2 linked regions of the Oreochromis niloticus genome follow. The protein of the gene in region 1 interacts with the protein of each later gene in a pairwise test. Links are inferred from orthologs where the notes say so. Each region holds a gene or a part of one and is shown on either strand. Other genes may lie near its edges. The genes, in order: srrm4 and zrsr2.

Region 1 (16,459 bases):
AATATGCCTGTATCAATCCGGTGTGCAAGAAATTACAGTGCTGGAATTACAAGCATATAAGTTTGTAAACTGCAGTGAGTTTGATCATATCCAGCCACAGACCAGCTTTTCGTTTTGCAGTTAAATTGCAGTCCACACAATGGCAGAGGTAGACTTATCATCCCATATGGAAAAGATATATATAAATCTTATAAAGTTTGTATCTGTCTTGTGTGAAACTTGTATGAAAAGCATACAAGAGTGAAAACAGATACAAGATCCCTTGAAAAATTATATAAATGAAACTTGTATCTTTTGGATACTTACTAAAACAATGTATGAAAGTGGCCACTTTCATGAGTAAATCATATAAGCCTTATATGATTCACTATATGAAGTAGGCCACATCTTATGCAAGTCTTTTATAAGTTTTTACTATTTCTTTTCCATATGGCATATTTCACCAAATCTGGAAATGCAACCTATTCACAATGAGAAAATGTGCATTTTGTTTAAGGATTTGTATTACATTTAAGTCTTAAGTGTAATAAAACCAGGGCTGGACTGGGACAAAAAAAATCGGCCTGGGCATTTTGACTAGAGACCGGCCCACCAGGTATTATAGGAAAAACCATAAAGCTTTTGAATGAAAACAAACTCTGTTGTCACAGTGATGTACACTGTCCTGTTGGTATATATGTATCAATCTAATAAACTACACCATCCTCCCTATTCTGGTATTCTAAACAGTACTTAGCCGAAACCCAAAGACTGCTTGGTCAAGTTAACCTCCTGAACTATATACAACACATGGTGGAAACCTGAAATTAAGACAGAGAGGACTAGAGGTGAGACATGATCATTACTGAATATTAAAAATAATAAATGACAGATTTAGATATATTTTCATGAACTATTCATTTACCACATCAATAAACAGCATGGCAGGGTAAAATATTTTTTCTAACATGGCAACCTTTAAAAAGTGAAAGGAAAGACAGGTGAGAAAGAATAAAACTTAATTGACTTTTTGATGGCATTTTACACACAGTACTGGTACAGAATCTGGGAAAATACTGGCATCATATACAGTACTTATTTCTGAAGAAATTATGATGGGACCCTGAAAAAAAATTACTATGTACAATAATGGATTTCTATACATTTTAGATCAGATGAAAAAGTTTGTTGTAAGATTCAGATAATTATTTATTAAAAAATAGACATTTTAAATGAGAATAAGAAAGAAAAGTATTTCTTTGTGCCCCCCTTTCCCTGTTAATGCCCTGCCTGGCCCCCTGGCAAAACTTTGCTAGACCCGCCCCTGCACAGTTACCAGCTGTCAGCAACATAAAAAAGGATCCTGGTGTTATTTGTCTCTCAGAAACAGTTCATAACTTCCCTTCAACTCATTCATGTCACCTAAAAGGTAAACCTGTTTCTCCATCACCTGTTCAGCTCTGATGATTCATTAAGGACATCTCCTGGTTTCATCTTCATGTTTCCCTCTCACCAGATATACAAACCGATATCATGACCAGCAGCTTTTACAGCTGTGGCTCCAGCAAACATCAGCTGATACTAGAAATTAATATTAAATAAATTCTAACAACAGCTGATCAAGCTTAAACGTGCTGCTGTTGTTTAGCGCGACATCCGCTGGTTTCCTCTTTCTGGCACAAAGTGGGCGATAAACAAACAAGAGAGACGATCAGCTGATCATTGATCAGTTTCATGATTGAAATAACAACAGGGGAGAGAGGAAGAGAGAATGAGAGAAGAAGAAACAGCTGCAGCATAAAGACACAGAATAAATCCAGCTTTGTGTCTTTTTCATTCTAGCTGAAGTACGGGACAAATCGCGTTCCTTTTCAGCTCAACACAAATATTGACTCTGAATACCAGACGATTCCGTTTTTTCCTGGACGGTTGGAAACTAACTAACCTTATGAATAAAATAAATTTCAACATCGGTAACATCATAGCACCCGCCCAGCAGTATATAAACTCCGTCATGCTAGCTAGTACACGTACGAGTTATTGTAACTGACTGTAAAAAAGTCAGCATAACGAAAATAAACTACACCTAAACTTGGTTTATATCTGACCCAGATAGACTGCAGGTCATAAGTTCTCACCTGAAGTTCAGTTCACCTGATACTCGGACCAACACCAGCGGCCGCCTCGGGTCTCTCCTCCTCCTGCCTCACCTTTCCGTCATCCACCTGCCAGCGTGTTGCACCTGCTGGCCTCCACCACTTGCTAATGTTGCTCAATCTGTGGAAGCTCCGCAATAGCCACCACCAAGCAACTGAGTTATTTTTACACATCTCCCAGCATCTGGCCAATCCACCACCTTTCAGTGTTTATACCGTTATGAAACACCCCCCCCCCAAAAAAAACCCCATTGGCCCATAAAAACGAAAATCACCATCGGCCCACCGGGCAAATGCCCGGTATGCCCGATGGCCAGTCCAGCTATGAATAAAACTGTCCAGCAATGACATATTTTCTATTTTATGTGTTTTCCAGCTTCTTAAATTCGTGGTATGGTTGTGTCATGACCAATCTGAGAGGTCAAAACCCAAGGATATGTAAATGCTACTGTTTTTCTGTCACTCAGAAACTACTGTTTCAGCCTTAGATGTAGATTTCAGACCGCACCCAACCCCATTATTAATGGCATAATAAAAACAAAACAAAACAAAAACACATTAAAGAAGCAGAAGAATTGTTGTATTCAAACTTAAACTAAAGTTTTGAGGCTGCAGTTAGCTTGCATTGCATTCTGTTTAAAGGTGTTCCTGTTATTTTGTCCGTCCTGCTGTACGTTCCCACCGGTGCTGTCAGAGTACAAGCCCCTCCAAACACCCTTTCTCTCCCTTTCTCGTTAAACCAGCATCTGCTGAGGTAAGAGGCCTGAAACCCCCTACCACACACGCATACACACACACCCACACATACTCACACTTCACCCCCTCCCTTTCTTTGCAGTCTCTCAAGCTTGCCATCTGCCACAGAGTTGGACAAGACCCCACTAATATGGCAGCCACACGCACACACATACACACGCATTACGAGCTTACAGCCTTATTTCAAATCCTCACAAACGCTGAAAAAAACTGCACAGACACACATGAACGCACACGTATACACACACTCGTGGTCACACGCTATACAACATTAAGTTAGGCATGCTGCATTTTTAATGAGAAGCCCCCACGAGCAACACAGCTTGCAGGGTCATAATGGTTTTGAGACAAACCCTACCCCACTGCATAGAGCTGGTGAACTCCTCCCCTCTTCTGTGTGACTGGCCTGAAGAAGAGGATACAGGGAGGACAGAGGGACAACAGCGGACTCTAATTACTCCTCTGTGGCTATCTGGCTCCTCCAGCATTTTATTTCAGGAGTTACGGGAGAGAGTGAGAGAGAAGGAGGCGAACGGAGAGGAAAGCCGAGGATGCCACAAACAGACAGACTCGTGCCGATTGAACATGAAGCATCACCCTGTGGCTCTCCCTCAGTCTCTTCTCTTCTTTCCATCTCTGCTTGTTGTACATAATGCCCTCTCGCACTCACTGCAATTGTTCATCACCCCTCAGTTATCCACAGTGAATAATAATGTCTCCTCTTGGAGAGAAAGAGGCAGAGGAGCAAGCCTAAGGCAATGCATTCTGATGGTCTAAGCATTCCCCAGTCACCCTGTGCCTGGGCAAAATCAACAGTGCGGTAGGAAGGGAGCTAGGATGTCCTGCATCCATAGTCTCTGGGTGTTGCATTTGTTTGTTTTGTTTTTCTCATTATTTACAATCTGTATCACCCAAGCCAAACTGTAAACATACACAGAGACAGGGCGAGAGACAAACTCTGGACAACAGGGGCGCTGCCGTTGTCTTTCACAAATAGACCCAGGCGAATTAGCAACATTATGTCTTCTTCTCTGTGGGGACATTTGCTCTCGCCTGCCCCTGCCATGCCGCCATCATCATCACTGTCACCCCGACGGAGCCCGTGGAGGGGCAGAGCCACTTGAGGAAAGCTTCTTTCCTAGTGAAGCTAAAGTTGAATAGACAGCTGGGCCCCGCTCCAGAGTCTCCAGCTATTTCAAAAAGGCTGCTCAGTTCACGGCAGCCAGCCACAATACATTTCTTTCTTTCTTTTTTTTTAATCAGAGTCCATTCAGTTTGCTTCTAATTTATTTTGCCAGGTTCCCCAAATAGACTTGAATCTGTCATCTGCGCCAGGCTATGGTTGACTGACAGAAAAATTGTGGCTACAATTATTTGGTTAGATTGCGGAGCTGGGGCACAGTGGAACAAATGCATATTTGATCACTTTCTTATAATAAAAAGTCTTTTTTATCCATATCCTACAGGCCAATAAAATCTTTTATAACCAAGCCATATGCAGTATTACGGTCCTGCTGTAATAGAAGCCATTAAGGACACATTATTTGGTTCACTGTGTCTTTCGCTTGCCTGTGCCAATGTAGGATGAAATGGGCCATTCTAATCCTCATTAACATAGCTAATTTCACATAAGAGAAAGTTGATAGTGGGTGTCAAAACCATTCAAAGGTCACCCAAGCAAGCTACACCATTTGACAGATAAGTATATCCATGTGCCCGTGGCTCTGTGTGTGTGTGTGACTGTGTAAGAAGTATGTATGTTTGAACATTTATTCCATTTGTATGTGCCGTTTCAGTTGCAGCAGGGTAACCTCCTCTGATACATTTGAGAAATAGGCAAAGCAGACAGAACAGTGCCTGATAACATGGATAAAACTGTCAAAGCTAGCAGATGATGGTTGATCGTGCAGACAGGAGCAAGGATGGGGGAAAAAAAGGGAGCAGAGATATGCAGGAAAAGGGCATCAGACATTCATCCTCCCCTAAAGGCTTTAAGTGCTACAGCTAACCTTTGGTCGAAGGGATGAAAAGGGGGAAGAAAATGTCTAACATGTTGCTCCTTCAACGGAGGCTCTGGCACAGCGCCATGTCACAGGGGGACAAAAGGACAAGTCTGACATTAAAAGCACAAAAAGTGCAGTCACGTGACCTTTAAAGGGGTCAGATAATTGAACATCAAACTCTTCAGGCCAGCTGTGTTTGGCTGCGTGTCACATGTGGCTGCATACATTAGTGGAGAAAGATCATCCAGATGGCTGCTGGGTGATAAATCAATAACAAAGACATGTTTGAGCTAGGCTCTTACACGACCCCTGTATTCGCTGATTTGCTGATGTACGGATCAAAAAAAATGTCTTGGCAGGTGTAATTTTGCACACATATTGATTACACAGCTTTTTCAGCTCTCTATATTACACATTTATCTGTATCCTTACAACAAAAATTAATCCAGGTGCGAGGTGATTAATTAAATGTCTTTGACTTTTATATTTTTAAGGCATGCTTTTCTAGAGGAAACTGTATGAACTGGCACTTCTTGTATGTATATAAAATTAAAGGAAAGTGTGTATCAACTATATCAGCAATAGCTCCACTACCATGTGCTTGCAAAGTTTAGGTTTAAAGAAAAATGAGAAGTTTGAGCAAGCATCCACGTAAGCTGCTGAAGTAAATACTGTAAACTGTAGATACTCACTCAGTCACTCTCCTACTGGCGGTGATGCTAGCCACAATGACACTCTCTGGTCTTGGGGTGGCCACAGCCTTGAAAGTCCCTTTCCAAAACTTCTCAAAGAGCTGCTTCTCTTCCAGCTGGAAGGTGGTAGTGCTTCCCTGTGATCCCAGGGACAGAGAGGCGCCACAGGGACCAAGCTGGAGTGAACGTGGGGGCTGCATTTCTGCTTCTTGCGCTCCAAACTGAATCACCTTCAGTCACTCAGCCGACAGTCTCCCTTCACTCTCATACAAACGCGCGCACGCACGATACCGGTTGTTGCTCAGGAACTGTCCAAGTACTGAATCAAACCGAGCAAAGTGCAGCAGCTGCTTTGCTCCGTCTTCTCGCAGCAGCAGGTCAATGTGTCAGCGCGTCTGTCTGCTCTTCACTCTTGAGCGGGAGCGTGCGGAGAAGGACAAAAGCTGACCCTCTCCAACTAGAGACCGGGTATTGTTCTCCCAGATGAGGAGGGGTAAGGGAGATTGTGTTTCTCTCTCCGCCTCTTCTGTCACATCTGCTGCTCTTTGGGATGGGGTCTGGGTCGGGTTTGGAAGCCAAAGCGCTCCTTTTTGTCCCTTTCGGCAGCTTCACACAAAATTAGGCATTCCTTGACAATAGATGGAGCATGCTTCAGTCGTGAGAAGTGAGAGACCTTGTGCTTTTCTTGCTGCTGGAGTGCAGCGTTTTAGTGTAGAGATAATTGTGCGCCCACGCACACAGGCTGAGGGTTGAGCGGGTGTCGAGGCAAGTGTTGCAGCGTGTCTGAGGGCAGGCGTATCTGTAAGTTGGAGAGTGGGTATGCCAGAGTGTGTGAGTGAAAATCGAGTGAGAAGCTCAGCTGAGAGTGGGTTGTTTTGTGTCTCTCAGCATGTGACGTCAAAATTGGGGGCTGGACACTGAGTAAAGGGGACATCCTCCGTCATCCTCCCTCACTCCCTCGCTGTGGTAGTCTCACTCTTCTAAAGCCTTGATTAGATTCACTTTTCATCCTCAGATATACTGGGAACATTTTTCTCTCTCTCTCTGGTTCTTTTAATCTTTCTGTCTCTCTGCTTGGATTTCTTCTTCCCTCTCTGCCTTCCCTCCATATTTTCTTCCTTTTCCCTGTGCCTTCTATTATATACATTTTGAAGGGTTTTAAACCTACAAGAACTAATCAGTTAGATCATAAACAGAAAATGAATCCAAAATTGTTCCTAAATAATTAAAGAGGACCTATTACGCTCAGTTAGTATAGTTTTAGTCTTGGACTCCACCAGAGTAACTTTACAAATAATCCTAACGTATTTTATACTGAGCCTTGCTGTAGCGCCTGAGTTTACCCACTGTCAGCATTTGGTAAATGGCAAATGGACTGATATAAATATATATAGAACACTTTTCTGTTCTAACTGAGCACTCAAAGCACTTTTTACCAAAAGCCACTACACTTTTGTTCTATGCATTTAAGTACTTTTTGTCCCACACTCTCACAATCCCCATGTGCAATTAGGGATTATCTTGGCCAAAAAGACTTCAAGGATCAAGCCATCAAACGTTTTTCTGATGGAAGATCCACTATACCTCCGAAGCCACAGCCATCTTGGGCTCTCTTCTTTCTTTTTTTAAGCTAAAGTTGTTTTGCTTGGCTTCTCTTTGTAAAAACTGAACAGCAAGTGGTGGTTTTTGATGTGCTTACAGCAAGAGCTCTGTCCCAGAGATAACTATATAAGGGATATTCACTCTCAGTGACATCATACTGACCCAAGAGTAAAAAAAATGTCTTTAAATCTTTATCAACCTGCTCATAGGCTTCTCAACAGCTGAACCAACAGCTTGTATCAAGCTTTGTAGGTTGTGTTTCTATAATCTTTTGTATTTTGAATATGTAATTACTGATATGTCTACTAGTCTTTATTATGTTGCAAACAGTGTAAGTCTGTCTTTCTTATCCTCTTCCTTCATGCGACACACACACAGACACACACACACACACAGACGATTGTCTCGTCAGTATCTTGGACAAAAGGCCGAGTAAATCAACATAATAAAAGGCCTGGCTCAGTGAGGACCAGCCGGAGCATGTGGCTGACACAAACTTCCCCTCGGGGGTTTAAGCTTTTTCCCTACCGTCACTTACCTCCTTCTCTCCTCTTTAGTCTACTTCTACACGACACAGAGCACAGAGGCACAACTCAACAACCCCCTCCCCAGCTCTCCCTTCTTTTTTCTCTCTCTTCTCTTCTTCACTCTGTCTCTAATGCCGCATATCATCTGCTGGTTGCCATTGCTGAGGACTCTGGAAATCTTCGAGGGGATTACAGACTACTACAGGGATGCCACCCTGTTTATGCTACAACAGAAAACTCAGTGTAATACTTTAAAGGATATATCCTATTTATAGACTTTTGGAATTGCTTGCAGGCTGTAATGTGATAGAGCAAAGCTCACTCATACACAAATTTAACTTTTATTACTATGCTTTTTTCCCTCAATATTTTGAAATATTTTGTAGCAGTATATATATTTCCAAGGAATTTAAGATGGTGTTTACAACATTACTAAGATGTTTCATTTGAGCGCATTAGACAAGGACTGATGGGGTTGTATAGTGGTAAGCAAGAGGGTCCTGGTTTGAACCTGCTGGCAATCTGGGGCTTTTTTGTGTGTTCCCTCTGTGTGGGGTCACTTTGGGTACTCTAGTTTCCTCTTCCAGTCCAAAGACATGCATGTTAGGTTAACTGGTGATTCTAAATTTCGTTTGGGTGTGAATGTGAGTGTGTATGGTTGTCCATCTCTCTGCATTAGCCATGTGAGCTGCCCCTCCCTGAGCCTGGTTCTGCCGGAGGTTTCTTCCTGTTAAAAGTGCTTGCTCATATGGGGGCATATGATTGTTGGGTTTTTCTCTGTATGTATTATTGTAGGGTCTACCTTACAATAATAAAGCACCTTGAGGCGACTGTTGTTGTGATTTGGTGCTATAAAACTGAATTGAATTGAATTGAGAGACTGCCATCCTACTGATCTCTCCCTGTTATGACAGGTGGGATAGGCTCCAAACATCCTAAAATGAATAAGTGGTTGTAAATACGCAAATTGTAAATAAATTGTACAGTTCTTGTTCCATGACACATGACAAAACTGAAATAAATACAGAAAAATAGCCCTTTTGTGTTCCCTTTTGAACTTTACTGTGGAAGATTTTATATTTATAATATAAAGAATTTGGTAGTGTTTCTTTGCAGACAGGCCTTAATTGTCCAAAGTTAACTTTGCATTTTAGAGTCTCAATAGTTCACTAAAAATCCATTTACTCTTGTGTTTGGATACCACTACACTTGAAAATCTAGGTGTCAAATCCATTCACACAGCTGATTCCAGATTCCAAATTAATCTGCTCTGCTTGCCTCTAACAAGATGTTTCGCTCTGAGCTGTGAACAAGATGTCATAAACACAAGCTTTGTCTCGCTGTGCTGACTACATTGTCGTGTGAACCTATCTTTTCTCTGATCAAGAGTTGTAGGCATAGGTGGGAATTAATATCAATGCCTCCTAATACGTATGCACAAAGACACGGTGCTGTACCTCGTCTGGATTAATAATGCATATATTAGCTGATAACACAAAACCTTGATGTATAACAACGTCAGACACTTAATGATAAGTGGCTGCTTCATCAGTGTGCTTTGCATAACGATGGAGCAGAGGTACTCTCAAATCAAACCAGAGGGCATAGACGAGCAGGTACAGCAAAACATAGAATATGTTTCATTTATGGTCGGGAATATCAAACAGCTGTTTCTGCCGTAAGATGATGTTAAGGTTATATTGGAGGGCTGTGCTGAGGGCAGAAGGTTGGGTTTCCTCCTGCAGAGTGTTTTTATGAAGTGCTTTTGCTAGCAGTGGTTTTATATAAAAAGCTCAGCTGAAGGACACTAAGCCGTTGCAGAAAAAGTCATTAATTTGTGGAAAGACAATAATTTCATCCTTTAGCCTTGATGTTGTAAAGGAATGAAGTGACAATAATTGATTTTCAAATGTTACATGACATCACATACATCTAAGAGACTTTGTACAATACTGTGCTTAATGAATTTATGCTCAACCATCAACATAGCATCAAAAAATGAAATAATTACAATTATTTAGCTTTTCTTTGCATCTAGCTTGTCAACAACATCTAGCTTTTTGTCATCTCTTTAAGCCTATTAAAAAAGGCAGCTGAACAGTCCTCTGTAATTTTCTGGGTTAGTTGATACACAACCGGAGCTAAACAAAAAGTGAATCCACTCAAAGTGAAGCACATATTATTTGAGTTTTTCAAAAGAATCCGAGGGAATACTTGAAAACTTATTGGTCAGGCTGAATGGTTTTCAGATTTCAAGCTGACAGTAATTGCAGTTGTTAGAATAGATGAATTCATCTTTTTTTAAGTCAAAAAGAAACAGGCATGACAAATTGTTCGCAAATGTAACATTACTTTTTCTTTATCAATAACAATCAAGCTTTCTTTTTGTGGCACTTCTGCATAAATTGAAAAAAAAAAACAGAAGCAAAGATTCACCTTTTCTTTCAAAGCCTCGCCATATTTTCTTTTCACTGTATTGTTTTCTCCATCTTCACTTTCAGCATGCACACCTCCACATTACTTCAAGAGAAATCAAGTACTGGTATTATCTGGGGATGGGCTGTCACCACAGCATTCAGAACAGAGAAGCCTACTTAAAAAAAGTTTTGAGGAGACATTACTGTATTGCATTTTTCATTTACTGTCACTGCTTTAATTAGATTTGGTTTTAGTCACACAGACCTAGAGGCATGTTAGAAACCTACTGGCAACTACCAGTCACTAGGGAAAAATGTGCATTCCCTTAATGGTTGGCAAGTGTTGGCAGTTGCTAGGTTAAAATGGTCGCAGGGAAGTATATGGGAAGTATGAGGTATGTCAGAACAGGGTTTGTTATTAAAAGTAAATTGAACATTCATTGGTCTAAACTAAAACTAAATGAATAAATAATCCAGTGAAAATACAACTGGGAAACCTACCAATTGCTAAAGGGATAGTAACTGAAAGATTCATTAAATTTAACAAATAGAAATCAAAAGAATTGTATTATATGTATTCATCTTTGGTTATTATAAAAAAAAATCTTTACCATAGACATCATATAAAGTTTTATTAAGTGTGCACACCCAATAACTCGTTTGTAACATCTTTCTGAACTTATATTAAAAAAAGCATTATAGTTGTAGATGGAAGTTTGAACACGGGCAGCCTGACAACTTACAAGGGCTGTTGCACAGCGATAGCGTTTAACATTGGTGCAGTGGTTTCAATGTGGGGATCAGGTTCACAGTGCAGCCACTGCAGGTGGGGAGGGGACAACCAGGTGAAGAACAGCCTGGTTGAAAAAGTCCAACAAAGACTGTTCTTCCTAAGGAAGTTGAAGCAAGCACAGTTCTGCCAGAAACTGCTGCTGAACTTTTACAGGACCACCTGAAGGACCTGAAGGATCTACACCTTGTTTAAGAATCCACGATGTGTGTAGTAGGCTTGCAGCTCCCACACCTAGAGGATCTCTACACCAATAATCTAATGAAGACGACATCATTTCACACACCTCACACCCTTTCACCTTCTATTTGAACTGTTTTCATCAGGCAAGAGATACAGACCTATGGCATCCCACACAAACACTCTGAGGAAAAGCTTTTTCCACCAAGCTGTTGCCTCCATAACCCCTCACCCAAACCCAAACACTCTATAATCACTGGCAGTGATGACAGCTTTCAGGACTCTCATTCCACACTAGTAGTTTGCCGATACTGTTGTGTGATAATTGGCACCTTTATTCTAATAAAATTCATCATAGATCATTTTTTATTGTTACTGAAAGATTAAAAATTGTGCATGGGCCTTTTTATTCGGCTTCTAAAATGGGGCCAGAAAAATTTTGAGAGCCACTGTGTTACTGTGAAGGTTAAGTGTACCATGGCCTTCCTTGATTGAAGATGTGAAAAAAAATTACTGGCTTTAGATATTATATATTTTAATTAACCTTATGTCTTAGATTTTGATGTGCTAGATAAGCTACACATATTAATAATTGTTAAAGTGTACTGAGCAAGTTCATTTTACTCAGATGTAACCCCAAAAAGATATGTAAAACACGATTACCTTATTATGTCAGATATATGCTGTTGGTCCTACAGACACAATGTTTTTTCAACCTGCAGAACTTGTCACGTGCTCTTTATTGCTTGCTGTTTTTCTAAATTTTGGAAAGTACCAATTCATTATTATTCATTAAATTCACATCATTTTTAGTTTTTTTTAGTCTCTTAATTTACTCCTGACACTTTACTCCTGAAACTCCTGACAAAAAGTATTTTGATAACAGTATCAAATTGGTGGAAAAGGAGGAAGCCCCAGCCTGCTCCAAATACCATAGTAGTTCACACCCAAGCATGTAACTACAAGGCTTCCTCACCTACAGCTGCCTCGATGAACACTGAGGCGTGTGAGAGTAAAACAATTAAGTTGCAAAATGTATAAAATCATGAACCTCATTGTGCTCTACACAAGCTCTTTTCAAAGGCATGCGAGCGCTTGAAAGGACAGGGGAGTTGAGATGCAGAGAGAAACTGAAGTGTACTTTGGCCCAAACTGTTAACCACAGTGAATGTTGAAGCTCTTTGGATGTGAGTACACTCAAAAAGTTTGTCCTTGGAAACTGTTTTGAAAAGTGAGCGGAGTTTTAAAATTGCACTTGCCAAGTGATTGGATGAACCATCAGCCTATCACTGTGTTTCATGGACAAACTTTAAAGTGTTGCAGTGACAGCAGCAGAAAACAACAGGACTTCCAAAAATGATGCAACTTCAGAGCAAAAGGCAAATATTCAAATGCATATAGAGAGAAAAACAGTAGGAGACTGTGGGAGAAAGACACTGCAGAGGAGAAACGAGCACAGGTAGGTTTACAATTAAGTAAAGTGTAAAAACAGAAAGATCAAAAAGGGCCATCAATACACAATAATCTAACAGTAAGACACTGATTAAACTAATTAGTGTTTGGAAAGCAGTCATAAAGTGGTGAAGGAGAAATGGAAGTAAAATAGCAAATGTAGCACAAGCAAAAAATTTTACCAAAATAAAACAGGAAATACCTATGACTGAAATATAAAAAGCACACATAATACAAATAATAATAATTCTATTTGTATTTTTTGTTGACGCCACCTTAGAACACAAAATAATAATACGAATGTAAAAAATATAGAATATCTTAAACAGGATGGTTATAGCGGATATGCAAATAGTTTAAGCTTTGATTTGAACTGTGTTGATCTGACCAAGGTTTAGTGGTCATGAGTTCCAAAGACAAGGTGGAGCACAGCACAAGGCTCTGCCACCCTCATGATGTTAAGTTTGAAGCGAGGAGTAGTCAGGAGAGAAGCTGAAGGCGAGCAGAGGGCACATGAAGGGGTGTGAGGCTGAAGGGTGACATAGACCAACAGAGGGAGACCAAAATACACGAGACAGTGAAAGAGGTAAACATTCAGTGACAAAACTAAAAGATAATCAGAAACCTTAATTTGAAATTGCTCTTTTAAAATCCATGCTATGTCAGGTGAAGTGTGTTTATATGAAAACATGCAATTTTTATGATATAACTCAGATGTGACTTTTCATCCCATAGTAATAAAACAGAGGAATAAAACCAAGGATAATAGCCAACTGCTTGTACTGCCCAGGCTCATTACACAACTAACATGCAGACTCTAGAATATTTCATATTTCCTATTTCATTTTCAGCACAGTGTAATCAAGCAAGGCAGGTGAATAGGCGGTCAGGGATGGCTGCGCGAAAGAAAGATCCAGCTGCATGGGGCAAGGGTAAGAGGACACCATCTTGGCAAATTAAATCAGCAGTCTCCATCAGGGCAAACAAACTGCAGGCTTTGAGGACGACATAGCAGATCTGCTTTGCCTGGGCCCAGAGGATACAGAATGGCGCTCATCTGTGGTAAGTGTCACGCTGGGCCGTGAAATATTACGCAGAGCCCCTAAAGATGAGCTAAGGGTCACCTCATAAGCTGCATTGGAGAGGACAGCAGTCATGTTGTGAGGCTCACCCAGAATTTAAGGACTTTTGGCACAAAAGGAGAAAATAAGCTGTGTCTTTATAAGGTAAAAATTCCACTTTTTAAAAATGTAGCATTTGCTTTAACAGAAGTTTGCTGGATTTTTCTCCTCGTGTTCTTTTTGAGCTACTAATAACAAACTATAAAAACTAAATTACTGAGGTGTCAGTGAATAACGCTTTTGGTGTTTTGTTTTCTCCCCTCTGTTTACACAAGCTATTCACAAAAAAGCCAGACGGCAAAGATCCAGTTGATGCAATTGTTGCTTTATTCAACTTGCAGTGCTGCCCTCCAGCCCCTGAAGGCTGAGTCCTTTATCTATAAATACACTTGGCAATTAAGAGAAGGTGGAAGGCATTGCCATATGTCGGATGTTCATTTGCTGAGTGAGACTTTCTGCTACTCCGAGAGGCCCTGCTGTGAAACTGGCCAAAGCTCTTTCACTCTTGGTGTAGACATTTCTATTATGCACTGCAGAAAAGGGGAATGCTTCGAAACCTAAAGGTTTTTTGCAAACAAAAAATAAAATTTAATGAGCAGTTCTTCTGTTTGAACTATTGTAGAGTCTATTCAGCATTATTTTACCTCTGATCAATATCATTGACCATTTACTAATAACCAAACATTGTCTGGATTAGTCAGTTAACCTTCAGATATTTGTATTTCTCAATTAATATGACCATCAACACAAAATAATGATCAAAACCGGCCTTATTAATATTATGTTAATGTATTAAATCACCTAATCATCAAAAATCAAACTACATCACCGCAGTGTTAAACACCAAATCAACTAGTCTTAATCTCTTTCTCTCTCTTATCATGATATGACTGTTTTTTGCACAGCACAATAGAATTCATGATTCTATTTACCCTTTACCTGTGTGTTTTGGTGTTGTTTTAGTAAGTGAAACATGGCCATTTCACATGCCTGATAGACTTGTCAAATATTTATTGCAGCAGTTGTGCAGCACAGAGGCAGCTGGGCTGCAGGAAGTGCTTCATTTCTGTTCTTGGGCACAGTTAGCAATCACACCAGACCTGAAATGTGACAGAGTCCAATTGAACCGTGCCCGTGACTGTTTCTTCATGTGAGCCAGAGAGCCGTATGCTGAACCGTGCCAAAGCTGTCTTTGTGCTGATGCAGTCTTGACAAAGTGCTCTGGGATGCTTTCACTTCAAGTGCTCAAAAAAAATCACTAGTAGCGGTGTGATAAGCCAGTTCCAATCTGCAGTCCTTACAGAGCACCGCGTTGCTGGGTTTCTGTGTAAAGTACTTTCACAATTTAGATGATTGTGGGCATGTTGGGTTTTTTCTTTTCTTTTCTTTTCTTAGGAGCAGCTGGGGCATCTGTGGCTTGGGAGGTATGAGTGTGTAAATGTTTGATATATAATACAAAGTGCTATGTGCATAGAAAACTGTATGAATAGGTGTATGAATGTGGCTTGTATTGTAAAAGTGCACTGAGTGGTCAATAAGACTAGAATGGCGCTAAATAAATGCCATTCCATCCACCATTTAGTTTGTTGTCAGGGAAAATCAATGCCTCGACAGGACAGGGCCATTTCTGCGATGCACCACTGGCATAATCAATAACATAAATTACATTGATAAGGCATCCCAATAGTAATGTAGTCACTGATGTTTTTTTTTAAGTTTCTGCTCATACTGTCTACTTGAAACTCAACACTGCACTTCTTTGAATTGCCAGCAATACAGCTTTCAAGTTATGAACTGGGGGTACTGTTAGGTTGGAAGGGCACACAGATATTCATACACATTATAGACAATACACAGATAATATACACTACCAGTCAAAAGATTTAGAACACCCCAATTTTTCCAGTTATTTATTACTATTCAAGTTGTTCAAATCTAACGAATAGCTTGAAATAATACAAAGGTAAGTGGTGAACTGGTTAAAAAAGGTTAAAAAACAAGTAAGGTTACCCAAAACTGAAAAATAATTTACATTTCAGAATTATACAAAAAGGCTTTTTTCAGGGAACACAAAATGTGTTAACAATTTAAATCTGTTCTGCAGCAATGCAGGTTGATCAAGCCTTAAAAGCTGGTACTACTAATTTCTACAGGTGTTCCAACTTTTCTGGATTACTTACAACCCCCTGTCTGCACAAAAGCAGTGCTGGAACACACTGTGGTACCATACCCTTGTGAGCATCAGATGAAAAGGATTGTGCTACAGAAAGTAGTGTGTTGCTACAAAAATTGCGTGAAAGGGGCAATTAAAAATGTAAGAGAGACTGACCATCATAACACTTAAAAATTTAGGTCTTTCCTACAGAGAAGTTGCAAAGAAAGTCAAAGTGTCAGTGAGTACAGTTTCCTTCACCATGAAAAAGCTCTCAGAAACTGGGGCAAACTTTCACAAGAAGAGGTCTGGCAGTCCCAAAGCCACAACTGAATCAGAGGACAAGTTTCTGTGAGTTAACAGCTTGTGTGATAGGCGGCTCACAGCACAACAGCTTCAAGCACAGCTTAATAGTGGTCGTGTAAGCAAGTCTCAGTTTCAACTGTGAAGAGAAGACTTCGAGCTGCAGGTTTGACAGGATGAGTTGCAGCAAGAGAGCCACTGCTAAGACGTCAGAATAAGACAAAGAGGCTTGGCTGGGCCATGAAACACTGACATTGGACTACTGAAGACTGGAAGAAGGTACCGATGAATCAAAATTTCATCGCGCAGGATCTTTGTATGCTGCTGAG
Region 2 (16,426 bases), on another chromosome or scaffold:
CATTGCATTTTAAACTGGATTAACTCATCAGAATACAGTGATCTCAGGACTCACAAACTGCAATGTATCCCTTTTTATTCATATAAAATCCAAATCTGTAAGGCAGAGATGTATCGCAGTGTGCACTAATTTCTAAAAGTTATTTTTAAGAAAATCTGATTTGTAGATTTTTAAATGTGTGCACTACAAAAAAAAAAGCATATTTTAAGTGAGGTCGCCTCAAATTTCCTCGGACTATTCTCTTTCCAGCTCTGAACTAAAGCCATTGTTGCCGTCAGCAATCATCTGTGTCACTGTTTTTCTGCGTTCGCTCCATCTCATTTCTCTCTCCACCAGGACTTGATGTTGAAAAATTTTCCACCGTCTCCTCCCCTGACTCCTCTTTTTCTGACTCTCCAGATGAAGCTGTCTCTTCAGGCAAATGGCTTTTCTTCTTGTGCTTCTTCTTGCTCTTCTTCTTGCTCTTTTTGGAGTGTTTGTGGCGACGATGTGTGCTGCTGTCATCATTACACTTTTTCTTACTTTTATCTGGTGACCTGGGGCTTCTTTCTCTACTTCTCGACTTTTCTCTCGTTCCCATGTGAGCGTCGTCATTCGTGCCTCTACCGTCTCTCTCTTGATCTCTACCTCTATGTTCCTTCTCTCTGTCTCTACTTCTGTTTCTCCGCCTGTCTTGCTCGTCGTCTCTGCTCCTGCTCCTTGACCTGCCTCTGCTCCTGCTCCTTGACCTGCCTCTGCTCCTGCTCCTTGACCTGCCTCTGCTCCTGCTCCTTCGCCTGTCTTTCCACCTGTCACTGTGTCTGGATCTGGACGACCGTGTGTCCTCTCTGTTCTGGTGAGACGGCCTCCTCTCTCTGCTCCTGCTCCTTCGCCTGTCTTCGTCTCGTCTCCTTTCAGATCTCTCCGATCTCACCGGGCTCCTGCTGTAATGACGCTGCCTCCATGATCGGCTCGAATACCACCCGTCTCTGTGACTGCCCCTGACGCTGCGGTCAGGGGACATGTGCAGGTCCCTGTCAGCCTCCCAGAATTCATTCCCAGGGTTTCGAAATACATGCAGAAAGTTGCAGTGCTTCCCTTTAGGGCACCTGTGTCTGTCAAACAATCCTGAGAAGAAAAACAAACAAGCTAAACACTGTGGGAATGTCTTCAAGTGAAACTGTGCATGTCGTCAGCATGAAAAAGTAGCTCACCACATATGGCATTCTTCCACCGTGTAACAGGTGATATCTCACAGTGAAGCTGCCGGCCTGCATACCACCTCCCATTGAATTTGATGAAGGCCTCTTTGCATTGCTCCTCTCTGGAGAGACAACGATTCAAAGAATGATATGTTTTCTCTGAAGTGTTACTTCAATTGCAAAGAGACGGGAAGTGGCTGAGTGACTGCTTACGTGTCAAACTGAACATAAACGTTTCCTCTCAGGTGTGGTTCATAGTTACAGCTGACCTATTAGAGGAGAGGAATAGGTGAAATCAAATAAATGTTTTTATGAGTCTGTTTTACAACAGACAGGATGACGGTAGGAAAGCTTCTTGATGTCATCTCACCTTAAACTGCAACACTTTGCCGACACTCTTGAACTCTGGCAGAACATCGTGGTAGAACTCGAGGAAGGACTCCTGCATCTCCTCCTCGCTGTGCTCCAAACAAGCATCGATGTCATAGTCATCACGGCGCGACTCTTCCATACCGAATGTTCTAAACATTCCGCGGATCATCAGCGTTGGACTGGTTGTAGGATACGTATGTTTCCGAGAACATCTGGATTCATAGAGAGAAGACATTCAAATATGTGGGGAAAGGCCTCTTTAGTGTCAACATGTAATTTAACCTAAAATAACATTCTTCTTGACAGACTAGCTTCTATTGAAATCACTGACACACTCTTAAACTGGTTTAAATGTTATCTCTCCAGCCGCACTCTGTTCATTCAACTCCATCAATTTCCAGTTATTACTGGAGTCTCCCAGGTATCTGTCCTGGGCCGCCTTTTCTTTTGAAATCATCTCCTTCCTCTTGGTCAAATCTTCCATAAATCAGTTTCCATTGTTATCCTGATGACACCCAGCTCTACCCACATGCCAAACTACCAGCACCTCCCACTCACTGCCCTCTGTGTTTGCCTCCAGGAAATTAAATCCTGGTTCTACTGCAACCTTCTCAAATTACAGTGATAAAACAGAGGTTCTTCTCACTGTCTAAACGTAACAGCTATTCATTCCCTGTTGACAACTCCTTAGTTTCTCCCTCGCCTCAGGTCAAGAGTCTGGGGGTCATCCTTGCCAGGACGCTTTCTTTTCAAGGGCATATCAGTGGCATCTCAAAACACACCTTTTTAAACTAGTTTATTCACTCTGATTGCCTTCCACTTCTCACATAAATCCTCTGTTCTCAAGGATCTTTAAACTATTGTAACTTCGCTTTTGATTTTATAGGATTTTTTCTTATTGTTCTTAACTCTTCTGGGTGAGGTGACCTTGAGTGTTTTGAAATACACCTAAAAAGAAATGTATTATTATTATTATTATTATAATCATTATTATTATTAACAAGTCAGAAGAAACCAAAACCCATCAGTACCTGTCTCCAAATCGACACGCTCCAGTCTTGAGGAAGAACGGACAGTTGGCTACGTCACGCTCTGTTCCAAAGTTCTCAGAGCTCACTGTCACAGGAGCCTCAGGGTTCATCCACGGGCCACCATTTTCCAGCTGTAAGACAGGCCATGAGCAATATATAAACTGTCTTAGTTTTCAGTCTTTTATTAGATTTAGAGATGTTTGCAATGACACCAAAGTGCAGTGACACTAGTTACAGTAAACTGAATTGAAAGAATTTAAATGTGTCTCTAGATATAAACAAGTGAAATTAAAAACTTCAGAGCTTCTAAATACCACTTTGAGTAAAATCTAAGGCCAACCTGCGACAGAAAAGCCCATCAAAAATCATCAAAATGAACAGTAGGCTCAAATGAAAGTATCTGGCTAAGTTTTAAAACATTGAAGGGTAAAGAGCAGGCTGAAAAACAAGGCCTAAAGCTTTTATTTGTACACTGCCAATACAAATACTAACATTTAACAATATTAAAATAATATTTTGTCATTAAACCAAGTCTGTTCCAAATCTATTCGGTTAAACAGGAAAAGAAAAAATGTTCACACTCCCGGGTGATTGGATAGAAAAGCAATTTTTTTTATAAAGAAATATATTTTCCATTTCCTGAGAAGTAACTACAAGTCTTACTGCTAAGACTTGTTTACCTTATCTTACATGTCTTAACTCTATGGCTTTTAGGTTTTAAATGTTTTCTTCTTTTTATTTTGTTCTTAATCTCTCCTTTTTATTTCTGTTCTTAACTTGTACTGTGTCTCTTATCTGTATTGCCATCAGTTGTACAGCACTTTGCTTGAAGGTGCTTTATAAATAAAGTTATTATCATTATTATTATTATTATTATTATTATTAATCTGCAGACACATATACAAAATACTATATACTGGAAATGAGTTACTATCATTCTGTGTCTCATTTATTTTCAGGGTGCAGAAAGTTTATTTCTGAAGTCATGATGGTTTGGGAGAATTTCCACTGTTAGTGTATGACATTTAACTGAACTTTATTTAACTGATTCAAGTTAAGTCCCATTAAAAGACATATATATGTACCATATGATACTTTGGGGGGGTCTGTGGCTAAGACAGACAATTTTTACTTGTGTTTGTGTGTGTGAATACCTGATTTTCAGCTTCATCCAACATTTTCTGAACAGCCTCCTACAAATGGTGTAAAGACACGGCTGGTGAAAATGTGAAGAAGTCAATACAACTGCAGCATATCTGTTTTCTGTGGGTTAAGACCACATTCACAGAGACTGAGAGGCACAAAAAAAGCTGTTAATGGGAGGTATCCTTTCAACACTAGTGAAGCGATTTCATAGCTTTCACACAATATAAAAGATACATCCTTGTTGTGAGAGCTGAGGTTTTTCTCTTTGAGTGTATCTCAGTTAAGGAGTAAAATGGTTCAGTCAAGGAAAAGTTGCACAAACATGTTACAAAAGAAACAATCAGCGGGTAAGACATTAAACTGGTTCATTAGCTTAACCTCAAGATTATGCAGAAGAGGATATATATGTCTTTTTTGTTTCTATCCTCCTGGAGCCCATATCACCTCTCTGTCTCGCTTCTCCTGCTGCTTCTGCTCTTTTTCTTCTTGTTCTCGCCTCTGCTGCGCTTCCCATTCCTCCTTTATCATCCGCTACAGACACAAAAAGACATAAAGACAGTTATTTGGAATTTTTATTGCAAATCATTCCCACTGATTCCACTGTGCTGTCATTTCCATTCATTTTGGTGCCATGAATTTCTTCTTTTTTTTAAACATTTCACCACAAACGCAGCTCTTTTAAATCAAGCTGGTATGGCCATCATGCCTGGACTGCCTTTATCCAGTCAGCTGTACTGGGTTTTTATCCCATACAAAAGCGAAATGAAATATAATATGGTTTTAAATTTAAATAATTAAAAATACTCAGTAAAATTCTGATCTGAACTGCAGTTTTTAAAAGCCATTACTCAAACAGAACAATGGATCTGTTGGGGTATCCAGTCAATATTTACAGCAGCAGGATGCTGTGCGCTGGACTGAGCTAGACTAAACTGCTCATGTTCACCAGAATAATGCACTGAATGAAACAAGCAAGATCAGGCTTCTGTTAAACAGGAAATAGCTCTTATTACAACGCATTCTTTGAGGCTTTGGTGGGTCAATGGGAACTGCTGAAAATAGGAAAACAAAACACAGAGTATTTTTATAATGATCTTTCTAATCCTCTCTAAGTCATTATAAAACAGTCATGTTGTTTGTTCGCTGTAAACTCCTGAATCATCTAACCTCTACACCAGTAAGGAACCAAGAACATCTGTTAACTAACTGTGCTGTCAACGTGGCTTTAATTATTACATTTCTTGAATTGTACAAGCTTACTATGAGGCAGTAGTGGTCAGTTACCTCGTTAGGAATGGGAACCCCCCCCCACAAAAAAAACGGCACTAGAGACAATTGCAACACGTGCAAAGCTTTGATCATAACAAAGGGGAGAAATGCCTCCAACATGCTCAAACATTTGACCACACAGTTCATTTGCACGACTGTAACGTCTTTGATACGCTGCTTAGCGACGGTGATGACTCTCGAGGGGAAGCTGACAGCACAGCACAAGCAACGTAAAACTCCTTCAGGTCCTGTTGATTGTAATAATGTTAGCGCCATAATGTATGAATAATCTCCATCTCGTATTAACATTTAGTTGACGAGGACTGCCAAAGCAAGACTGGCTCAGAGGTTCTCTCATATACTTTTAACTACATCTGTACTATATTTTATTCTCTAATTGATATTGATAATGGAATAAGTAACGTTAAATTCCTGTCAGTTCCCATCCCTATACCTCCTCCTCCTCTTTTCTTTTCCTTGCTGTTTCCTCCTTCTCCAACCGCAGCCTGAATTCCTCTTGGGCAATCCGCTCTCTTTCCAGCCACTCTTCATGAAGATGCTGTCTAAAGGTAAATAAACACAAAATCAAACACATCCAGCATGTGCAGCAAAACGTTCTGCGCCGGTATCAATGAATGAGCAGCTTCAGAGCAGTGTCAGTATGGCCCTACCTTTCTTCCTCTGCAACATCATCATCCTCACCGTCTTCATTTACTTCGTCTTCTTCTCCGGGAGTAGGACTTGCTCCATTTTTTAAATCTGTAACAGAGAAAAGGTGGTTGAGAATCTGCTTAACAACTGCAACTAGACAAATGAGAACAACACAACCTGGACTTATACATTTATCACATACCATGTTCTCTGGCATGGGCGAGAGCTTGGCGTTTCCGTTTCCTCCTCTCTTTCCTCAGAGCAGCCTTGCGTTGCTTCTGACTGAAGTGAAAGAGATTGAAAACAATAATCACAAAAGAGGAGCAAAAGGTAGATGGGAGACTAAGCCATGTTATCCCGGGGCTTGCACAGCTCTTGCAAGAGAGTGCACCTTAAAGAATAAAAGTCGGTGTTCACAGCAGACCCTGTGCCCTGTCAAACATAATGATCACTGAACTCTTCCCATCACTGGTGCTTCTGAAGAAGACAGACTTCATGTGCCAATTGCTTAAGTTAGCCATATTACACCACCCTCTACCTTTCCCAATACTAAAAGATCTCACTATCTGCAAAGAAAAGGCTCAGGCATTTAAATCGGTTTCTTTAGTACCACCAGACTCATAAAAATGTATCTAACCTAAGGCTAAATTTGTACGATTATTGCGTTTATTTAACAACACTTTAAAGGCATGCAGATGCCACAGTTGTCTACGTGTCTCAAAATCATTAGTTTGACCAATAAACACGTTCAAAAGACCTACAAAGAAACACAGACCTTAATACAGGAGCAGAAATCACTGGAGTGGACGCTGCCATTGCAGCTAACGGGAGCCAGCTGGTTAGCTTCTTTGGCTAACGTTAGCTACCCAGTGTAATTCTGCCCGCGTTGTTTGTTCTCGCCAGCATGTAATTAGAAAAATTAGAGAAAATCTTCTCTGCTTATACGAAATATTTCTGACGTGGAATAATTTGTCAGGTTAGAGGTACAACTAAAAACATGTTTATTGCAAATGTTAGCTACATGCGGAGCTGTTTTGCCTTCTTTATCTTCTTCTTTGTGGATTTCCGGCAGGCAGGACGCAACGCAGGCGTATTGCTGCCCTCCTCAGGTACTTCCTAAATGTACATCAAGGATTAAATCCTTATGTGTAGTCCATTTGGGTGCAGAACTTTAGATAAAAAACTTTATAAATTCCTAAGGATTCAAATCGATTACTGATTTTAGGGGAAAAGTCTTAATGTTCATAATATTTGTCTCAATAAAATAGCTGGAGCAGTTCATCAAAACATGCTTAACAGTTTCCATCTCTTCACATGTGCAATTTCCACAACCTGACCTCCTCCACCCACTGCAGCACCCATACCATAGCTATAAATTCTGCCGTGTGCACAGAAAACCCCTCATTCAGTTATCTAAACTTAACTGTGCTTCTGAGTCTTCATCTCTCCTCTACCACCTTAGAAAATGCTGAATTAGCTTTTGCTCTTCTGTTTTCCTAAATCCTTAAATTAGTTTTTGGTCTAAGAATAAACCATGGTGCTATGGCTATCCTGTGGAACTGGGGGCTAACCCCACTTTCTCCACTCACAACTTCTCCCCCTTCTTACTTAATACTGAAAACAAAACTCCCCTCTGGTTTAAACTAAAAAAATAGATTTTTAAAAAGGAATAAAAGGTCTGCTATACATTCAGTAATATAAATTTTAAAGTCTAAAGTCTGTGTGCAAAAAAGTCTGTCTACAACTTTATTAACTATCATCAGAGATCATTTGATAGAGCATCTGGATTAACAAATAACAAAATACAGGCCAAATATAATAACACAGCATATAGCACACAAGAGGGTTATAAAAGACGCAACGGATGAAATAAAGAGGTGGTGCAATGGCAGTACAGGGGCTATTATTTTTTCCATAACTATTATTTCATTTCAGTGCTATGCTTTTCTTGATCACAATTAATCCCATTAAGATGAATGCAGGATTGTATGAGGGCTAGAGAGCGCCTAAAAGTAGCTGTTTAATGCAGGGAGACAGTGCTTGTGAGCTCCTTCTTTTAGAGAATATAATCAGTGAAATCACTGAACCTAGAGCAAAAATGATTTACATTGTATATTATAGACACACTAAAATGTTCTGCTGGCACTAGAGTGTAAAGTGTTTTTAAACGATGCACAGTCTAAGTAAAGCTCGGTAGTGTCCACTAATCTTTCCTCTTGAGGTAATAATTATTTATTTCTCAACAAGGTTATTATTATGAATTAGAAGTAGATGTAAAAAACAAACCAAAAAAAATTTAGTTAACTACAATAAAAATAAAAACTAGACCAAAAAAATGAAATTAAATGATTTTGTGAACTTGGAAAAGAAAAAAATAAATAGAAAATATCCTTAATTTTGGTATTTGCTAGTTTGTTACAGATTTCATTGCATTAGCTGTAAGGATTTTCCTAAATTTTGCCCCTGACATACAATAATAATTAAAAAGTCATTAAAAAAAACCTAAGACTAACAAGGAAACTACTAAAAACTAAACTTAAACTAATCATTTTCAGACAATTAAAACTAAACTGAATCAAGGGAACCCACTCTGCAAACTGACTGAAACCACACTGAATAAAAAAAACTAAAAGTTAAAAGAAATTTAAAAAAATTGCTATTTGCTGATAAATGCTGTGAAAGGCACAGACACAGAAGGCACTGCGCAGAAATCTCAGCAACAAACGACAGTTTTGTTTTTATACCAAACAATGATTTTTGTGAGTCATATGAATCTGTTACACAACTCTAACGCACCATTGCCTGCAGTGTAACATTGTGTGTGCCTTATGTGGATGCTGCTGCTTTACACACAGAGATTTTCAATAAAAAGCAGCAGATCAAAAACAGTAGATGGCACAATTTCCATTTTTCTTCATTTCTAGCACCTCCACATAGCCCCATGAAGTTTACAGGTGGCAGTTTCCTCTCTAAAATAGCAGCCGCTAATAACTGCAAACACAGCAGGAATTTGCAAGTTCTTTATTTTAGGCATCTGTGGCATCTGTGGCACTCTCTCTGTCCCCCCCGACAGTCTGTCATTCATTTTTCTTCTCTGGCGCTGTCCTGAGGAAGAAGGCAGGCTGTGTGCAGCAGCGGTAGCACAGAGCCTGAGGCACCAGCATGTACAACACATTGACCAGCAAGAAGACAGGCTGGCTGTCAACAGGTACTCTGTATGAAAACGGTGTCCGTGTGTGAAGAGATGCACCGATGTGGGAGAACTGGGCCTGTGAAACGCAGCAGAGAGGGATAATAAGCATGTGCTTCACAGCTGGTATGTTCACCAAGATTCTTATATACACACTACATGGACAAAAATGTTAAGTCACCTATATATTACATCTGCAGGAGCTTGTTTGACATCCCACTGTAAATTCATACGCATTACAATGGAGTTGGTCCCTGTTTGCAGCTATAGCTTCCACTCTTCTGGCTTTCTACAAGATTTTGAACGGTGCCTTTGGAAATATATGCCCTTTCACCCAGAAGAGCATTTGCAAGGCCTGACACTGATGATGGACGACAGAGGTCGGCTCACAACCTCCATTCTAGTTGATCCCAAAGGTGGTAAATGGGGTTAAGGTCAGGGCTGTGTCAAGTCAAGTTCTTCCACTCTACTCATCTGACCAAACCTTCATGGGCCTTGCTTTATGGCATGGTGCACAGAGATGTTGGGAAAGAAAAAGGCCTTTCCCTAAACTGTTAATAGTCAAAAATGTCTTTGTAAGCTGAAGCTTTAAGAGTCCCCTCCACTGGAAGTAAAGTGTACAGGCCAGAAACACAAGCCCCAAAGCATTATCCCTCCTCCACCAAACTCCGCAGTTGGCCCAGTGCAGTCAGGCAGATGACGCTTTTGGTCATCACTCCACAGAACATCACACTATTGAACTTTCAATATCCCAAAGCAACCCATAGATGCAAAAGGTACCTTCTAAAACTCAGAGCAGCACAATATGTTTATTCATCTAAGATCCTGTACAGTTTTTCTTTTACTATTATACGTATATAGCCATTTTTTTTATATTCTTCCATCTTAGATTCTTTTTTATATTTTATATTTTTGTCCAGTGGCGAGTGAGTGCACCAAAATTTTTTTTTACTGTACACTAACTGGTGAGTGTGTGTGTTCTGAATGACAATAAAGTAGCTATTGTATTCAGTTCCTCTGTGTCTCCACTGCTCCAGAGTCCAGTGACAGAGTACTTTACAACACTATCTGACGCTGGGATGCAGCTGCTCAGACAATTTTCATACTGATGTTAATGACAGAGGAGGTTTTTAACTGCAGTTAATCAATCAGCAGAGTGTTGGTGACGTTTATCCACTATGTGCCTCAGTGCTCTGACCCTGCTGAGGCATCAGATAGGCTGTAACTGGCACTGGTTAGCTGAGCTCCTGTGGTTCGCAAACTTTCTACTTTGCAAAAAAAAAAAAAAAAACACTTACAGCTGATGCTGAAACATTTAGGAGGGAAGAAATTTCAGACACTGACTTGCCTCAGTGGTGGCATCCTATTACAGCAGCACACTCAAATTCAGTGAGCTGTTTAGAAGGACCCATTCTTACACAAATGTTTATAAAGAGTGGCTGCACAGCCCATTACTGAACGAAACACCTGAATTCAGTGACTAAAAGGTGCTGCCCAATACTTTTGTCCATACAGTGTATCTTGATCTTAAATATTTTGTACATATTTAAGAACATTTTGAGCTTATGATTGTCTTTTTTCCCCCTTTTTTTGTAATTTAACTACTGGAAGTAGTTAACATCTAAGTCTAAAAATGAATAGACTTAGATGTCAACACCAAGGTTAATATAGTTAAATAAAACTAAACTAAAACTAAAGGTAGATATGGAAAAACATGTTAGTTAACTGAAATAAAAAATAAATAAAAAAATAAAACTAACTGAAATTGCTTTGTGAACTTGGAAAACTAACAAAAATAAAATAAGAATATAGCGAAAACATCCTAACTGAAACTAAACTGAATACAAAAAAATCAAAACAGATTAGAAAATAAAAAAAACTAACATAACTGTGGTTAGCACAGGTTTTTAGTTGTTGTTTTGTTTTTCCTGTTAGAATCAACCTACATAAAAAAATGCTTTCCCACAATTATTGTTTCCTTTATTTTAAATGTATCAAGTCCCACATAACCCCAGTTATCTGGTATAGTGAGACCATCTGGGCACATTACTGTCTTATTATCATGTATCAGTAAATTAAACACCATTCCAAAGTCATAAATCTTATAGGAAATCCTGTGATGCTGAAGCCCACATATTCTTGCTGGATGCAATGATCTATCTACAATAACAGACCAATAAGGGCTTACACAGGAAACCCATTTGAAACAGGCAAAAACAAAGTAACAGCTGTTTTAGAGTGAATTATTCCTTTACTGGACTGACGATGCCTGCATTCTGGCACCACCACTGATCCTCATATGATTTTCAATCTAATACACTTCTGTCATTTACCTTTTCATAGAAAGCTGCTGACACATGACATGTTTCATAGCAACCAAGGCTGCCAGAGGATCAACCTTCCTATTTATATCCTGGCTGAACAGCTGACATTTAAGTGAATACCACCAATACCACCATTCCTCTTGGTCTGAAGTCAGCTTCTGCCCTTATCCTGCCGATGAGTGACGTGCCAGCCTGCAGCTCAAACACAATGGCTGCATTGTGCAGTGGAGATGAGATCAGCGCCATAGCCACTCCCACAACTCTTCACTTTCCATCTTTAGATGTAAATAGAGCCACTGGTGTCTGTCAGCTCTGAAGAGTACGCTAAACAAAGACCAACTTGCAATCACTACAGAGGAGAAAGTTTACCGAACTGGCCAGGAGCCGGCTCTCAGTCTCTGTGTAACGTTACATAATCTACCTGGAACTATGATGTCATGTGGGAAAACAAAAGACTGCAAACGACTCTTTCACAGAGTTGACCTTCGTTTTTAAAGCCTGGAAACTCTTTCATCACTTACTCATTTGGTTTCCAGATATTCAGAACAAGTTAGAGATGTTAGGCGTCTAATGTAAATCATACCTGGGACCCCTCGGTGTATACAGTGATCAACAGTACCTGTGCCAATGCTCCCGAGTGTACAAGAGTCAGGTCTGGCATCCAGTCACATCCTGGGACCAACAGCCCATACAGAGTAATGATGTAGTAGGGCCCAGAATACAGCATGCTCACCAGCATCTGACAAACAGTGACACAGTTTACTGCTTTAGATGTGTGGCTTAATATTACAGCATTAGAGTGACGTTTTTGGTGCGTTTACTGCACCGTATTACCTGTACTTTAGGGTAGGCTGAAGGGTCTTTGAGGTATGGCTCATACTGTTGTGTGTAGTCTTGGCACCATTTGCTGGAACAGTCAAGAACAACCTCGAACACATAACATAACAGTTTGATATGTGAGAGACACCCAACGCTAAGAAAGTAATCTACAGTTGTGTGCATGCTGGGCAAGCCGATCCCCTTTTTCTTACCAGGCCTCTGAACACACAGAAAGCCAGCGCTGGAATGAGGTAGATGATGAATACCAAGTCCACAGGTCTGCGGCGCAAGCCTGCCCTCTGAGCCTCCTCGATGTCCTGAGAACACAACATTTGCAGATGCAAAGTATGGATGTGTTTCCAGCAGATAAGACACTTTAACCCTTACTGGATGTTTCTGTGTATATAAGGTAGATCGCAGTTATTTTACAGAGGCTACTGTAAGTATTGCAGTTTCAGAAAGAAATGTCACCAATAAATGGGCATCAGTTATGTTTAGATATATCCACTATCACAGACATAGTTGCCTAACTTATAATGTACTGTACTGTAATTGTTGTTGACATAACCACATAACAATGCTCTGTAGCTCAACTAAAAGCATGATGACAAACACTTCCTTTACTTTATTTTATGTCTTTATCCCTCAGTTCTTTATGTAAAGCGACTTATCAGCTCAAAACGCATCAGTCTTTGCTGAAGAAAAAATTCACCTCAATGATATAAAACAAAACACAGTAATAACATATTGTACTTTACCAAGAAAGGCTCTTCCAGTTTAAAAATATACAAATCTGATGATTATACATGCCATACTGTTCAGAAATATGAACAATAAAACAGACAGTTTTTACCCCTCATTCATTACAGCATTAAATAAAGCATGGCTTTGAATTATTACTCACGGGAACGATGGAATATTGTGAACATAGGAACTTGCAAACACTTTTGATGAATGTGTCATTTGGTGTCGATGACAATAAAAGTATGATTCTGATTCTGAGAAATGTGCCCATACATTTTTCTTGCACTGTTTCTGTGGTGGTAATTACTCATCAGAATCATCTCACAGACACCACAGACAATAAAAGTAGGTGTTTTCTCTCTGAGAGGGGCGGCGGTCAGGTTCTTACTGTTAACTCAACGTCCCGTGTAGAAGGCTGACTAAAGATCCGGAAGCAAGCCCACACCGACATTGAGATGTACAACATATGGAGGACGAAGAGAGGGCCAACGTGGGTCCCATACTTCCCTGGGAAAAAATGAGGGGGGGGGGGAGCCCATTAATTCCATGTGGGAACAGAAGCAGATATGATCTAGTTTAAATCCCTGTAAGCAAACGGGATCTGAAAGTTTTGTGTGTGTGTGTGTGTGTGTGTGGGTGTGTATGTGTGGGTGGGTAGGGTGATGTGGGCTACCCTACACAAGCCATCTAAAAGCATCCCATTATTTTTAGTGTACTTACCCACAGCATTCCCAAGAATGTAGACCATTGCACGCATGAGAAAAGATCCTACCCAGTAGAGTCCAATAGCTCTGTAATTGTCCCTGCCCAAACCATGTAACAAAGCCAGATGATCATATTGTAGTTTCAAAGAATTAGGTATATAAATACATTATCAAGCTTATCTTATCAAGCAGTATAATATGGATTGGATTAAGTGGCAAATATTTTCCTTACTTAGTGATGCAGCTGTGGTGAATAACCTTGGAAACAATACAGGACTTACCCCCAAGTTATTGCAGCAATCATGAGCAGATACATGAGATAGTGCACGCAGCCATCCCAGTAGGATATCATGTGCCCATGTGCTGTGTTGATATGTGGATCTGCCTGAAACACGGTGTAGATTTATCAGTCAAACTGTGAGGAAGTGGGGGCATTCATAATCTGGACGCAACAAAGCAACACTTGCCTCTTTGAGGTAAAATGTCACAAATCCATCAATGATGTTGTCTTGCTCCAGTCCAATGATCAGATTCACCACACTGAGGAATGCATGCACTGCATACACTTCACAGATACATATTTGATACATTAATTTCTAATTAAAGACAAGATAACTTGCAAACATTACATGCTGCTTTGAATATCACAGCTTTTTAAATACTGCAACAGGTTTTTATATGTGCAACATGCAGAATATGAGTCGCAGCTCGAGCTTTGATCTGTAATGGTGCTCGCTCACTGTTGGTCAAAACAAGAGAACTTGCATTTGAGAAATCCTACCATAGAAAAGTGGATCTACTGGAGCCTTCTTTTTAAGTATAAAACGAGCTGAAATGGCCAGAATAAGAACTGTTGTGCACCAAGCGAAGAAGAAAGCTTCAGCACTGCATGAAATAGAGAACATCTTTAAAAAAACACATGATAAATCATTCTCAGATTAGTGCAGTTACTCCTCGCTACTGGTGGTGTAAGCCGGAAGTCCAACATTTAAAATATGTGAACCAGATTCCACGTACCTGTTGCTGTAAATGAGAGAATTGAATAAATAGCAGATGGGGATAGACATCAGGGAGAGCAGGAACACTCCCGTTCCCACAGACGCGCTCATTGCGCACCGACTATGAGCGATTTGTCTGAGCGAGAACTGAAATTTTTAAATGAATGAGCCGCAGAAAATGTTCATGCTTTGCTTGGATGGGAGGAAAGTCAGAGTGTTGCCGAAAAAAAAACTTTGAGCTCAGCCCCTGCGTGCATGCTCAATCTTGTCTGGTCTGTCTGTCTGCTCTCCTCTCGCTCTCTTTCTCTGTTTACCTACACATGCACTGTAGCCAAAGGAGCTTCAGCTTTCAGATGGTGGAGGCGGGCCCTCACCTGGAGAAGAAACGTCAAAAGAAAGTCTTTCATCAGATCTTAATGTCGTAAATTAACAATTCTCGTGTCTTTCTCTTCTTCTTCTTTCTGAAACCATTTTTTGCTCTCTTTTATCTCTGATTTGATGGAAGTGGCGATTTTTTCATTCATTCATATTATTCTATACATCCAAATACTAAGCTGGAGGGAATAGTAAAATAATATATATAGGGGCTGTGCAAATGAATTTAAGTGATAGTCCGTGAAAAATACTAAATTTTTTACAAAATAACAAAATAGGACAGGGACGCCACAACTTTATATAAAAAAAAAAATATTTAAAAAAATAAAAAATTAAGATGTATTTTCTCGGGCTGGTTCATTGTGCTTAACAAAAATATATATTTTACCATCTGCGAAAAAAAGGGGGTTTGTTTGTTTGTTTGTTTAACGAAGAGAAACTGACACCCAGCGGTCAACTGGGAAAACACTAATCGTAGCACCGATTTGCAACACTGTTACCATGCATATAGAACAAGTATTACAAATGTGTTAAAAGCTTAATATCTGATAAAACGTTTACATTTGATGCCTGACCTTTATAATTCAGTTTTTGACGGCTTATTATTTGTTTTTATAAATTACACATCTATTTATTTATTTGTTTACATTTTTAAGCTTAAATTAATGCACCAATTGCATAATGATCAAAAAATATTTAAAAAATTAAAAAAATAAAGTGTAGTGCCTCTTGCTCACACGTTCTCCCACGTTTGAATGTATAAATGCTGCTTTTATTTAGCATTTTATTATTTTAATTGTATTCTATTTAACATATTTGCCGATTGTATTGTGCCCAAAACGGTCACACAGATAAAAAAAAATATGTATGTTAAGACACTGTTCAAGCTTTTTCTTTGTTCGTTTTTTTCCATCTGGAAGTGAACAATAAAGTTTCAGGATAAAAAAAAAATGTGTTTTGGAGGAAGTATACCTACGCCACTTCCGGAGACTCTGAAGCTAGCAGGTAGCTAGTGATGAGTGATGGCGTCCCCTGCGATGGATACCACGTAAATGAATAACGACAAAAACATTACGGCGAGTGCGTGTCTGCGTGTCAATAACGAGGCCGTTTCTGTGGAAGTACACTTAAAAACAGTGTGTCGTTATGGCGACCGGGAGCAGTGGTGGCGGATTGCCGTCAAACCATGACGGTCAGGAGGCAGCATCCAACTCGGCTCATTGCGGAGCACCAGCAGCGCTCTCCAACGTCCCAGCCTCCGCTCCTACCCCGTCCGGCTCCCCGCCCGTCCTCGGCCTTCACCGGGAGCCCATGTACAACTGGCAGGCGACGAAGAGGTCCCTAAAGGAGCGCTTCGCCTTCCTTTTCAACAACGAGCTTCTCAGCGACGTCAGGTTCATAGTCGGGAAAGGCAGACAGGCCCAGAGGATACCGGCCCATAAGTTCGTCCTGGCCGCTGGCAGTGCCGTTTTTGATGCCATGTTTAACGGAGGGATGGCCACGACCTCTGCTGAAATCGAGCTGCCTGATGTGGAGCCGGCCGCCTTCCTCGCGCTGCTCAGGTAGGACAGGTGAACCCCATGCCCTGCCTGTATTCGAGACCACCTAGTACCACACTATTT

Evidence for each region.
Region 2: the proteins of srrm4 (region 1) and zrsr2 interact in binary tests that used the Homo sapiens proteins (3 or more experiments, as listed by UniProt). The link is inferred for Oreochromis niloticus from reciprocal best matches to the Homo sapiens genes SRRM4 and ZRSR2.

Annotation. Positions count from the first base shown.
Region 1 is NC_031977.2:30,367,897-30,384,355, reverse strand, and holds the start of srrm4 (serine/arginine repetitive matrix protein 4), read right to left. Parts: upstream 6,449-16,459; 5' UTR 5,787-6,448; coding exon 5,587-5,786; intron 1-5,586. UniProt on the Homo sapiens protein: Splicing factor specifically required for neural cell differentiation.
Region 2 is NC_031965.2:13,768,022-13,784,447, reverse strand, and holds the start of zrsr2 (U2 small nuclear ribonucleoprotein auxiliary factor 35 kDa subunit-related protein 2), read right to left. Parts: upstream 6,739-16,426; 5' UTR 6,467-6,738; coding exon 6,426-6,466; intron 5,933-6,425; coding exon 5,853-5,932; intron 5,759-5,852; coding exon 5,671-5,758; intron 5,563-5,670; coding exon 5,454-5,562; intron 4,262-5,453; coding exon 4,175-4,261; intron 3,778-4,174; coding exon 3,739-3,777; intron 2,716-3,738; coding exon 2,585-2,715; intron 1,766-2,584; coding exon 1,552-1,765; intron 1,451-1,551; coding exon 1,395-1,450; intron 1,304-1,394; coding exon 1,194-1,303; intron 1,108-1,193; coding exon 275-1,107; 3' UTR 1-274. Other genes in the region: transmembrane 6 superfamily member 1, read right to left, coding at 8,728-8,919, 11,784-11,903, 11,999-12,091, 12,196-12,300, 13,116-13,234, 13,448-13,530, 13,713-13,816, 13,899-13,996 and 2 more; BTB/POZ domain-containing protein 1, read left to right, coding at 15,951-16,366. UniProt on the Homo sapiens protein: Pre-mRNA-binding protein required for splicing of both U2- and U12-type introns. Selectively interacts with the 3'-splice site of U2- and U12-type pre-mRNAs and promotes different steps in U2 and U12 intron splicing.